Bombyx mori: one gene and its partners. The protein of the gene in region 1 purifies or fractionates together with the protein of each later gene. This does not show direct contact. Links are inferred from orthologs where the notes say so. Each region holds a gene or a part of one and is shown on either strand. Other genes may lie near its edges.

What was found.
Region 2: the proteins of cullin-3-A (region 1) and kelch-like protein 3 purify together in Drosophila melanogaster (affinity purification with western blotting; 3 studies listed by BioGRID). This does not show direct contact. The link is inferred for Bombyx mori from reciprocal best matches to the Drosophila melanogaster genes Cul3 and kel.
Region 3: the proteins of cullin-3-A (region 1) and BTB/POZ domain-containing protein KCTD5 purify together in Drosophila melanogaster (affinity purification with western blotting; 4 studies listed by BioGRID, with this or other methods). This does not show direct contact. The link is inferred for Bombyx mori from reciprocal best matches to the Drosophila melanogaster genes Cul3 and inc.

The regions. Positions count from the first base shown.
Region 1 is NC_085110.1:9,637,780-9,641,441, reverse strand, and holds part of cullin-3-A, read right to left. Parts: coding exon 3,549-3,662; intron 2,463-3,548; coding exon 2,264-2,462; intron 1,442-2,263; coding exon 1,272-1,441; intron 124-1,271; coding exon 1-123.
Region 2 is NC_085109.1:522,748-526,509, forward strand, and holds the start of kelch-like protein 3, read right to left. Parts: upstream 2,888-3,762; 5' UTR 2,636-2,887; coding exon 2,598-2,635; intron 1,043-2,597; coding exon 989-1,042; intron 744-988; coding exon 584-743; intron 254-583; coding exon 119-253; intron 1-118. UniProt on the Drosophila melanogaster protein: Component of ring canals that regulates the flow of cytoplasm between cells. May be involved in the regulation of cytoplasm flow from nurse cells to the oocyte during oogenesis. Binds actin.
Region 3 is NC_085123.1:10,763,667-10,767,165, reverse strand, and holds BTB/POZ domain-containing protein KCTD5, read right to left. Parts: upstream 2,249-3,499; 5' UTR 2,015-2,248; coding exon 1,814-2,014; intron 1,730-1,813; coding exon 1,277-1,729; 3' UTR 662-1,276; downstream 1-661. Other genes in the region: serine/threonine-protein kinase N, read left to right, coding at 1-337; mucin-5AC, read left to right, coding at 2,919-3,161.

The sequences.
Region 1 (3,662 bases):
GCTTTCATGATGCGCACGATGGCCGCTTCGATCTCGTGCTTGCGGTCCTCGTCCACCTTGTTGCGGGTCTCGCGCCGTTCCGGCTCCGACTCTCCCTTCGCGGCTACCGTTTGTATCTTAACTCTGCAAAAAAATATGTCAAGAACAAATAATTATCCGGTGGTAGATTCTGGGAAGCACTGCATTTGCTAGGACCAGTGTTAGCATCCCTTCCGGTTTGAGTCCCGAGAGCTCACCTATACGCTAGGGTGAAGCTGAAATAGCTTCTCAAGCCTATCAGAAGAGGTAGAAAAAAAAACCTATACTAATATTAAAAAAGTTTTATGTTTGGACGTTTGTTACTCTATCTGGTGGTAGGACCTCTTGTGAGTCCGCACGGGTAGGTACCACCACCCTGCCTATTTTTGCCGTGAAGCAGTAATGCGTTTCGGTTTGAAGGGTGGGGCAGCCGTTGTAACTATACTTGAGACCTTAGAACTTATATCTCAAGGTGGGTGGCGCATTTACGTTGTAGATGTCTATGGGCTATTGATTTGAAGTCGTCGTGGCCTAAAGGATAAGACGTCCGGTGCATTCGTGTTGAAGCGATGCACCGGTGTTCGAATCCCGCAGGCGGGTACCAATTTTTCTAATGAAATACGTACTCAACAAATGTTCACGATTGACTTCCACGGTGAAGGAATAACATCGTGTAATAAAAATCAAACCCGCAAAATTATAATTTGCGTAATTACTGGTGGTAGGGCCTCTTGTGAGTCCGCGCGGATAGGTACCACCGCCCTGCTTATTTCTGCCGTGAAGCAGTAATGCGTTTCGGTTTGAAGGGTGGGGTAGCCGTTGTAACTATACTGAGACTTTAGAACTTGTATCTCAAGGTGGGTGGCGCGTCTACGTTGTAGATGTCTATGGGCTCCAGTAACCACTTAACATCAGGTGGGCTGTGAGCTCGTCCACCCATTTAAGCAATAAATAAAAAAAATCCAAAATGTGTCCATCCATATCCAAATGTAAATGTAATCCAAAATCCAAATTGATGAAATTTCGCACCAAGATACTCAGATTAACACAACAGTTTATCTTGATAAGTGAGATGAACCGGGAAGGCCAGGTACATTTGTTATTATCTACTAATACGTTCGACATTTTAAGTACCAATGGATCTACAAATGGACCAGAGAGACGAGCGCAAATTTTAATTAAGTATTGCAATATATTTGCATAGAGGCCCTTTGTTATTAATCCATGGAACGTGTTTAAATATTAAAAATTACCTATGTAACTTAGATGTGAAGGCATCATTGACGTAAAACTGATGTGAGGGCTCAATTTCTTTAGTTTTAGGATGTTTGATGAGAATTCGTTGGGTCGGCTTGCCCATGGCCAACGATTGAAGCGCGCGGACTAAATCCTTTTCCGGTATATCAGTCTCATTGAGTAATTCCTGCAATCAGTTTGGTTAGTTGTAGAAGTTTGTAAAAGGCAGAGTATATTTCATTTTTAAAAGCATAAGTCATATATGCCTATAGCAAATTATAATTATATTGACTATAATAAACTAGAGAAGTCTGTGTGTTCATCTTTAGAATATTTTTTTTTTCAATGATTAATCTATATAATTTGTAGTCTATAGGTTGAGATTCAATCAAAAGGTAGTTCCGACGTTAGGAACCTAAAGTTCATATAAAAACTTAGAAACAGACCCAACATTTGTATACAAATCGGCAAAGACAAAATGGTTAAGTACATTTTTTTCTTTTGTTTGTATATATTAACATAGTGTTTTTGTCCATAACCCAATATGTGGGGTCGGCGCTGCATTCCTCTTTTTTTCAATTAGGGCTATCATACGTCACCTCTGCACTTACACCCTTCTCTCGCATATACCCTTTCACACAGCCCATCCCAGTCTTTTAATAGCCCTCCTTCTCATGTTACCCTCTATTTATATTAATATCTATGTTTATACTAACACTAGCTGTACCCGTCAGCTTCGCTGGGCATTTAAAATTAACATTATTATTTCTCACCCCCAAAAAGATACTCATCATTAACGCCCCCGCAACTGGTGTAGGGAGTCCAACACTCATAGAAATATTAGCCTATCCATTAAGTACACGTATTTCCTACATAGATACCAAATTTCAAGTCAATCGGATGCATGGTTCAGTCGTTATAACGGAACATCCGTAAAAACCACTGTAGATTTATATATTAGTATAGATTGTATGTATTAAAAATCTGGAACCGAAGGTCGAAAACTGACCTCGTAGGTGAGACGGTCGCGCTGGTTGAAGAGCAGCAAGACGCACATCTGGAAGGTGGAGACCTGTATGATGTGGCGGCGCGGCGCGGCGGGCGCGGGCGGGGAGGCGGGCGCGGCGCCGAACGTGGCGTGCAGGTCCGCGCTGCCCAGCTGCGGCTGCAGGGACAGCTGCCGCCCGGAGTGCTTCGCCAAGTAGAAGCTGCAAAGCAAGCAGAGAAAGTTAATGCTTCTCCCGAACATTCGTAACTGCGTCTAGAAGTCCTTCATATATTTATGAATTTACTAGCTGACCCGGCAGACTTCGTAGTGCCTCAATCGATGAATAAAAGACCTACACTTTTGTATAAAAAAAACATAAAAAAAAAAACAAAAGGAATCCGTCCGACAAGGGACACATCAAAGGAAAAACAAAATTGTTTCTTTTTGAAGTTATACTTCTTTAGGCGCGTTATGAAAAATTGATGAGAGTGAAATTTTACGATGCGCGCGCACCGTGACACAAAATTAACAGAATGAAGTTGCCCACTAAATCGCTCATTACAATACGACCGACGTAACTTGGCGAGTCTGAATATAGCCGCAGGTGAACTTTCCGAACCGTACCGAGAATTACCGAATTTATACGATGTCAAGAATAGGGATGTCCAATATGCGTGTTTGAGGATGTTGTTTAATCGATTTTTTTTCAAATTGATTAAATTTAAATAAAAAAAAAGGAATGAATTTAATAAAAATAAAGTATAACTTCTTACGCGCGTACATAAGTACACGCATCCTTTTTTATATAATTCCGAGCATTTTCATATTTATTCACCTTTTAAACCTTCTCTGGACTTCCACGAATAATTGAAGACCAAAATTAGCTAAATCTGTCCAGCCGTTCGCGAGTTTTAGCGAGACTAACGAACAGCAATTCCTTGTATAATATAGACTAGCGAAAACCTGCCACGGTACACCGTCGCCAAACATGAAATACACCCATTTCATTACCGGCGCCTCATGCTATTTGTTGATAGTATTGTGCTAGAGATTCGTTTATGTAATATTGCCTCCCTCTATGTGAGATCATAGACAAAGTTATACTTATAATTTAATTTTTTTCTATTGATACATTTTACACACCAACCAGAAAAGTGAGTAATGCTGAAGAACTGAATCAGATTTATTCCATGGTTAGTCCGTGGCTTGCGATGGCCCTGAATGACGTCACACGTGGTGAGTTGCGATCAGCCGCGTTTTGTAAAATTTGGTTTCCTATTGAGTTGAGAGGAATGCCTGTACTGACCTTCTGAAGACTTCGAACGCGTTCCTGGGCGCGGCCGGTATGTTGCACTTCGGCGTCGCGCTCTGCGTCGGCCAGAAGCCGGTCGTGAGCACTCGGACGGACAGATCCACTCCG
Region 2 (3,762 bases), on another chromosome or scaffold:
TGTGTTGGGTAGTAAATCAGTTCATTGTGTGTGTGTCTTTATACAACCCACACATAACAATCCTTTTATTAAAAGCAAATAAAGAAAGGTTTGTGCAGCATTGTTAAGCTAATTTTACCTGTATAGTGACAGTGGGTTGTGTTCTTTCGTCGAACTGTGTGAACATAGCGTGGAAGTAGGGCGATGAAGCCGCCAATACCGCGCGATGAGCCCATACGCCTTCGGATGGCTCGCTGTCGCATTCCGCTTGGGCCTGAAAAGTCCAACAAATGTTAATGTTATGTTTGGTCAATTAGAGGTAACTGGTTCAACAGTCATCCCTATTACCTGTAGCTATCGCGTTGTATCGCTGCAGTAAAACTCAATAAACTATTGAGTGGGATAATAGAGTATTCCAGGTACAAGTAATAGCAAAAAACTTTCACCCATCACTAAAATATTAATTACTACATCCTCTTACAAATAATCGCGATGTTGTTATCACAAAGATTTCTTTTTATGAGATGAACATAAAATAATATACTCAAAAGAAACATCAAATGTAATTCATGTTATGATTTTACTTTTGTAAACATAATCTTACCTGTATCCGAACATCACAGAGTGTTGCATCTTGTCTCAACCTCGCTAAGGCCTCAAGCAACTTTGATGCATGTTGAGCTCCTCCAATAGTATTTTCAGTGGTGGCAGGCCGCTGTGATGACTCATCTAGAGATGACTGTGATGCACAACGTACCATCATGCTGCAATAGAAGTCATTTTTATACATTTTACTCTGTGTGTAGTATATTGTTACAAATTATTCTTAGCTTCCAACTAATTCATATCCTCACTTGAGGGTCCACAGGCTACAGCTTTCTAAGATGTACAATAATAAGTTTGCAGTTGCTATTATAATCAAATTTAAATTAGAACATGTAGTGTAATAACAATAAGCGTTTTGACAGAGACTTAGCCTTGCCTCAAATAAAATGCAAAGTACACTAACCTATACCTTCCTCTGTCTCCATCACCTTCTGCTGCTCCGTTATCAACTGCTAAGCTGTTGGCAACAAAATAAAATAACAATAACAACCACCAAATTTGTATGGTAGTTATGTTAAAGGTATGGGAATTTAATATTACAGTAATGGTGAAAGCACTGTTTTATCAACATTGAGGACAAAGAGCTTAAGGCCCACCCACCTGGTGGTGAGTGATAATGTTTTTTTTTTTATTGCTTAGATGGATGGACGAGCTCACAGACCACCTGGTGTTAAGTGGTTACTGGAGCCCATAGACATCTACAACGTAAATACAGCACCCACCTCGAGATATAAGTTCTAAGATCTCAGTATCATTACAACAGCTGCCCCACCCTTCTAACCGAAACGCATTACTGCTTCACGGCAGAAATAGACGGGGTGGTGGTACCTACCCGTGCGGACTCCCAAGAGGTTCTACCACCAGTAGAACATCACCAATGTCACTCAAGAACATCACGAATGCACAATTGAAACAATATTTCCATGTTATTAAGTAGGAGAATAATTTTATTATTGTGTATAGATTTACTTTGGTTTTATTTCTTGTGTTTATTATGTAGAAGTAACATGTTTAAGCTTATAAAATTTGAGATATCAGTATAAATTGTTGTGTTCGAGACACACTGATTTGTTACTTATCCTTAACCTATTGTTACTTATCCTTAACCTATTGTTAATGTACTCATTAACATTGAAATTATAATGATATTATTTTGCTAAATAAGTACTTTCTTATTTATGCACAGTATTCATTTTACTTTATTGATATGCTGCATAATACAGTATCTATCAAAAATATTAATCAATGTGCAAATCATGAGCTTTAAACCTTCTGTACAATAATATGTGTCGCTATTTCTCTTATCCAAATTAAATAATTTACAAACGTATCTATTTATTGAGTATATGTGATTATTATTATATTAATGTTGTTGACCTATTTATATTGTGAAGCATATCTTGATATTTGCATAACACTGTATAACACTGAGCATAAAGTACTTTCAATCCAATTTAATGAATTGACTTCAATATGGACTGAAAATCCTACAGCCATAGTAGTAACAGTCTCAGATTTAATTCCAGGTCCAGTATCTTTCTTAAAGATATTTGGATGTTAGTACATTTAAACATGGAATATTTAAAATGTACAAAACAGAAGATATTAATGCAACTCTACCCACATTACAATATGCTGTTATGAGTTGACCATACCTAAATATAAGTAAATAGTTTAAGGTTTAATACTATTTAAATTAAAAATATCCAATCTATCTTCAAAAATTATTTATTGATATATGTAGTGACACTTATTGACATACATTTTTGTATAGCACAATTTTTTGGCTTACCTGATTCATAAATACTTTTGAAGCCTACATTATATTTGTAAAGTAAAAAAAAATTTTTTTTTTTCTGTTTGTTAAGTCCAACGTGACAAATGATTATAGTTATAATTATCAGTAAATAGTTCTGCTTCGTGGACGTAAAATAACAGCACAATCCAGACTTATTGTGTAAACGTTTGTAAATCCTTGACCTCACAGATTATTGTGATATTAAACAACTTACATGGCTCTTTCTCTGTCGCCATCAGCGTTTCCTTCCATAGTTCAAATCCTGCAATCTTCAGTCAGTTCACGACGAATGCACAGGTAGAACACATAACTGAACAAAAACCAAAGTTTTCAAAGTAAAAGCTACAGGTAATCGCTTAAAGATAACAGACAGTCGGTATTAAAAATATGTTATTGTGACTTTTATTCGTAATTTGATTGTTTTGAACGACATAAATACTAAATAGATTTCAATTTGCGTTCGGTTCTTGAGCCTCAAATCCACTCTCAATCAAATCGAATGAACGTTAAAATGTCATTGTCAACTGTCAAGCGACAATAATGTCAATTTTGTTGGTTTGGGTCATAGAGTTACTATTTTAACTGGAGTGCTTACTTCGTTTGACATAAAAACTAAAAATATACTTTATCTCTATGGCTTAAAGTTTATTTTTAAATAGCAAAAGATGTAAGGAAAAACGGTCTGAAAAGAGAATGATTATTAAGTGGTGGTGTCCCTCTCGCACATTTTACAAACAAAAAGCAGTGTTGCTAGCTTAGAGGATTTTCCATAAAATCTCGGAATTTGGACCCCCGTCTTAGTTATCAAAAATGGCTTTTAGTGGTTAGTGGATTTTTTAGTAGCTTGGGCGTTGTTGAAAATTATTGAAAAGGTTAAAATCAATCCACTTTACAGGATTTTAAGCATTTTATGACAATAATATATCTAAATGCATATTATTTAAACGATGTGACTTAAACTTAACTAGAAAATATTGCGACAATTTAGAATTTCCATCAACGTCAAAAATTAAATTGGTTCAACATAAACGTACAAAGTTATGGTGAATTTAGTTTCTGATGATGACAATTTATTAAAATAAATTATATAAGAAGTATTGATTATATGATATATATTGATTTTTAATAGAACATCATATATTAATAAAGCTCATTAACAAAAAAAATATTGTTCTATATTAATAAGAACTCTGTTTAATGGAAAATTTAATGGTAGGTACGTAGATTTCTGATGGTTTTCATGTTGAATTTGGTGGGAAGCCAGATTAATTGTTGGCATCACCGAAAAAAAGCTATGAATGGATTAAAAGGAAAATGGCGTCTATTTACGTTTGTAGTGCGAAGTTAAAATGGCACTGATACAGCTTATGGCTTGTTTT
Region 3 (3,499 bases), on another chromosome or scaffold:
AGTGCGTTACCCCAGAACTTTATCTTTAGAAGCTATTGCATTGATGCGTCGTTTGTTAAGGAAAAACCCAGAAAGACGATTGGGTTCTTCTGAAAGAGATGCTGAAGATGTGAAGAAGCAGGCTTTCTTCCGCAATGTTGATTGGGAGCAATTGTTATTGCGTAAAGTGAAACCACCATTTGTGCCAACAATAAAACACTTGGAAGATGTTAGCAATTTTGACAGTGAGTTTACCTCTGAAGCAGCTGTGCTTACACCGCCTAAGGAACCGAGACCACTGTCATCCACAGATCATAAAATGTTTGAAGATTTTACATATATGGCAGACTGGTGCTAGGTCAGACTGTGAGAAATAAAACAAATGGTATATTTATACCATAAAATGCTAACTACACAACAATAAACCCCTGATTGCCTTAAGAGTGTGACTTTTCTGTATTTTGATAATAATAATAATGTTATAAAATATCTAACAGGTTGTCTTGTTAACTTATATTTAATGCAGTTTAAATGCAAAATTTTATAATAAATTATATAATTAAGTTTTAAATAGTGCTAATGTTTATTTTTTTAAAACATAGTGTTATAGATTTATATATTGTGTAGTTATGAACTTAACTTTAAAAGACTAATATGTGAAGGCGTGTCAAATCATATTACGTTTTCAGTCAATTGTTTACTTATTCACTGAAATAAAGGCATAAACACAAACAATTTTTTTACTTAATTACGTTTTTAATAGAACAAATGCATTTTAATGTTGTTTCCATTACGTTTGGTATGTGAGCATATCTGGAATTGTTAAGGTACAGATTGTTATTTTATAGTAATTACAAAACAATGAAACAGAAAATGTACAAAGAACATTATTAGTCTCAGAATTTCATTCACAATTCACTCACAATTACAATACAATTCGCTCTCCTTTCATAATAAACTAGAGAATAGCACACACTTTTGTATGGACATATAGGACCAATGGGTCACTTTAATTGCCTGGTACAACCTGTTGCTAAATACACTAATAAACTATAGACTCAAAAATACATTTTACTCCCTATTTCCTAAATTTATGCAATTGAGTATTTCCTACCATAAAATTCAGACAACACAAGTTACTTACTAACTATTAAATTATTGCATTATCAACCTTAATCTTGTAAGATCCTTTTGTTACAATACCAATAATTATTTAAGACTGTTTATTCTTTTCACAATATGTACACATCACACAGAGTTATGATCACAAAAAAATAAACAAAAGTAAAATCAGAGCTCACATTCGTGAGCCTTTTTGCTGCAACACTTTTGCACGATCTGTTGACTCAATGTCATTACTGTTGAGTGTACTACCACATTCACGACTAACCACACAAAGGAACTCTGCATGTTCATCATTGCCATAGTTATACTGTGAACCAATATTGATTAGTTGTTCAAATTTCCAACCATCTGACATTGTGGAAACCATCTGTGTCAGCTCCTCTTCATGAAACTGCAGAACTCTGTATACATGTTTCTTGGAATCTTTCAAAGGTCTTCTCTCTCTGAGACATATTCTCTCTTTAACTAATCTTATAAGTTCCGTAATGTTGTAGAATTCTGCTTCTTCGAGAACCCCTTCTTCAGCAATATCATTGTTAATCACCAATTTACCGTGGCGAAGATAATTGAGGACAGGTGAAAAATATGTCGGGTCTCTATCTATTAAATAAGCGCCAGTCTCATCCTGAAACAATGTTAAGAATATATTAACAAACATAAAAGGGAACCTTAATTAGCATACAAAAAGACAATATGAAATCGAACAAACCCTGTCTGATATCAAGTCACTATCCTCTTGAACTAATCGATACAAAAATGAATTAGGATCCCTACATAGAGTTGTTTTTGTAGTTAAAAAATACGTTCCACCAACGTTAAGTTTGACCCATTGTTTGCTACTCCGCCTTTCATTATTAAATTTTTGTATATTTTCTTCCATAAAATCACTACAGTCAATATGCTCCGCCATCGCGTACCAAAGACAACCCGTGCACCGTTCGTATCGTAGACAGTAGTTTTGTCATGCTTGTCATTGTCTTGAGAGCTTTTTGGCGGCGACTCGATGGATACATTTAATAAATTATTAATATATTTGGTTAATTTGTGTTTTTCTGGCTTAAAGCCAAATAGCTTTCTATAAATGTGGCTTCGTAGCAGCAAAGTATTACGAAAGTGCACAAGCGAGAGAGAGGGAGAGAGAGAGAAAAAGGCCTAGTCATGGTTTCTCGACTTTTTACAAAGTCTAAAAATGCTGGGTGTACACGTATAAAGCCTCACCAATTTTTCTAAAGAAAACATACTAACGCTTGTTCACGAAGGCTTTCATCGTTTTAATTAAATCCAAAAACTTGTGCTAGGATATTGTGAACCCGCATGGTAGACACCACCATCTTTGCTTATTTCTGTCGTTATTTCTTAAATGGGTATCGTCATGCGAGAGAAAGTTAGGTTCTTGTGAAGGTATGTGTCACTTCTATCAAAGGTTTTTTTTTTTCAGAAAGAAATGTATATATGTTATCATTGAAAAGTCTGTCTAAGACTTTTTTATAAATTTCCATTATTTAATAAACTACAATCTCTTTATATATTTTTTTCAGTTATGGTGTAAAAAATTCAATCGTACAAACATTGCAAAAGACTATCAACTTTGTTTCGTTTGCCTGTACCAATTGAGTAGACAAAACAAAGAAAAAATATGCTACTTACTACTTTGTGCTATTGTCAAAATTTGTAGAAATTGGTCAAACAAATTCTCAGTTTTTGTTTAGTTAACAAGATTTTAACTTTATTAATAAATAAAGTTATGAAATCAAGTGGCATGCGGTACTAAATACCTTTAAAAAGCGATTCTAATTAAAGTCAGCCCATTCAAAATGAGTGGTAATATGGAAAGTGATAGATCTGTTACAACTGGCAAGATGTACCCAATAGATTTGGCGCCTCAAAAAATCACTATAGTTAAAAATGTAACTAATAATGAGGTTAAAATGGCGCATTTAATAAGTGGACAAACCAAAACTTCGGGTTCTAACCCCATACTGGGTCACTCCAACGCTAGTTCGACAGTGATGCGACCTGGCTTGGCGCAGATTATTGCGCCGAATGTTGTCTCCCAGGTAAATGTATAACATTATAAGAAATAAAATTTCATAAATAACTCCTACATTAAATTCCCAAGCTATACACACCTTCAATGTGGATGTATTTTCAGTGACTCCAAAATCAACCGGAAAAATTTAAAACGATTTTATTTCCAGTTTATAATGTTTTAAATGTAATGGCTTTTGTGGGTAGGAAATTAAAAAATAACTGTATGGAATCCATTCTACAACTTGCAAAAAATAAATCGTCTCTTCATATTTAGAACTATAGTATCCTGTCAGTAATACGCCATTCAGTGTTAAAGGCGGACTCAACTTGACCGCATTTTTGACCGTAATACAATTATGCTATA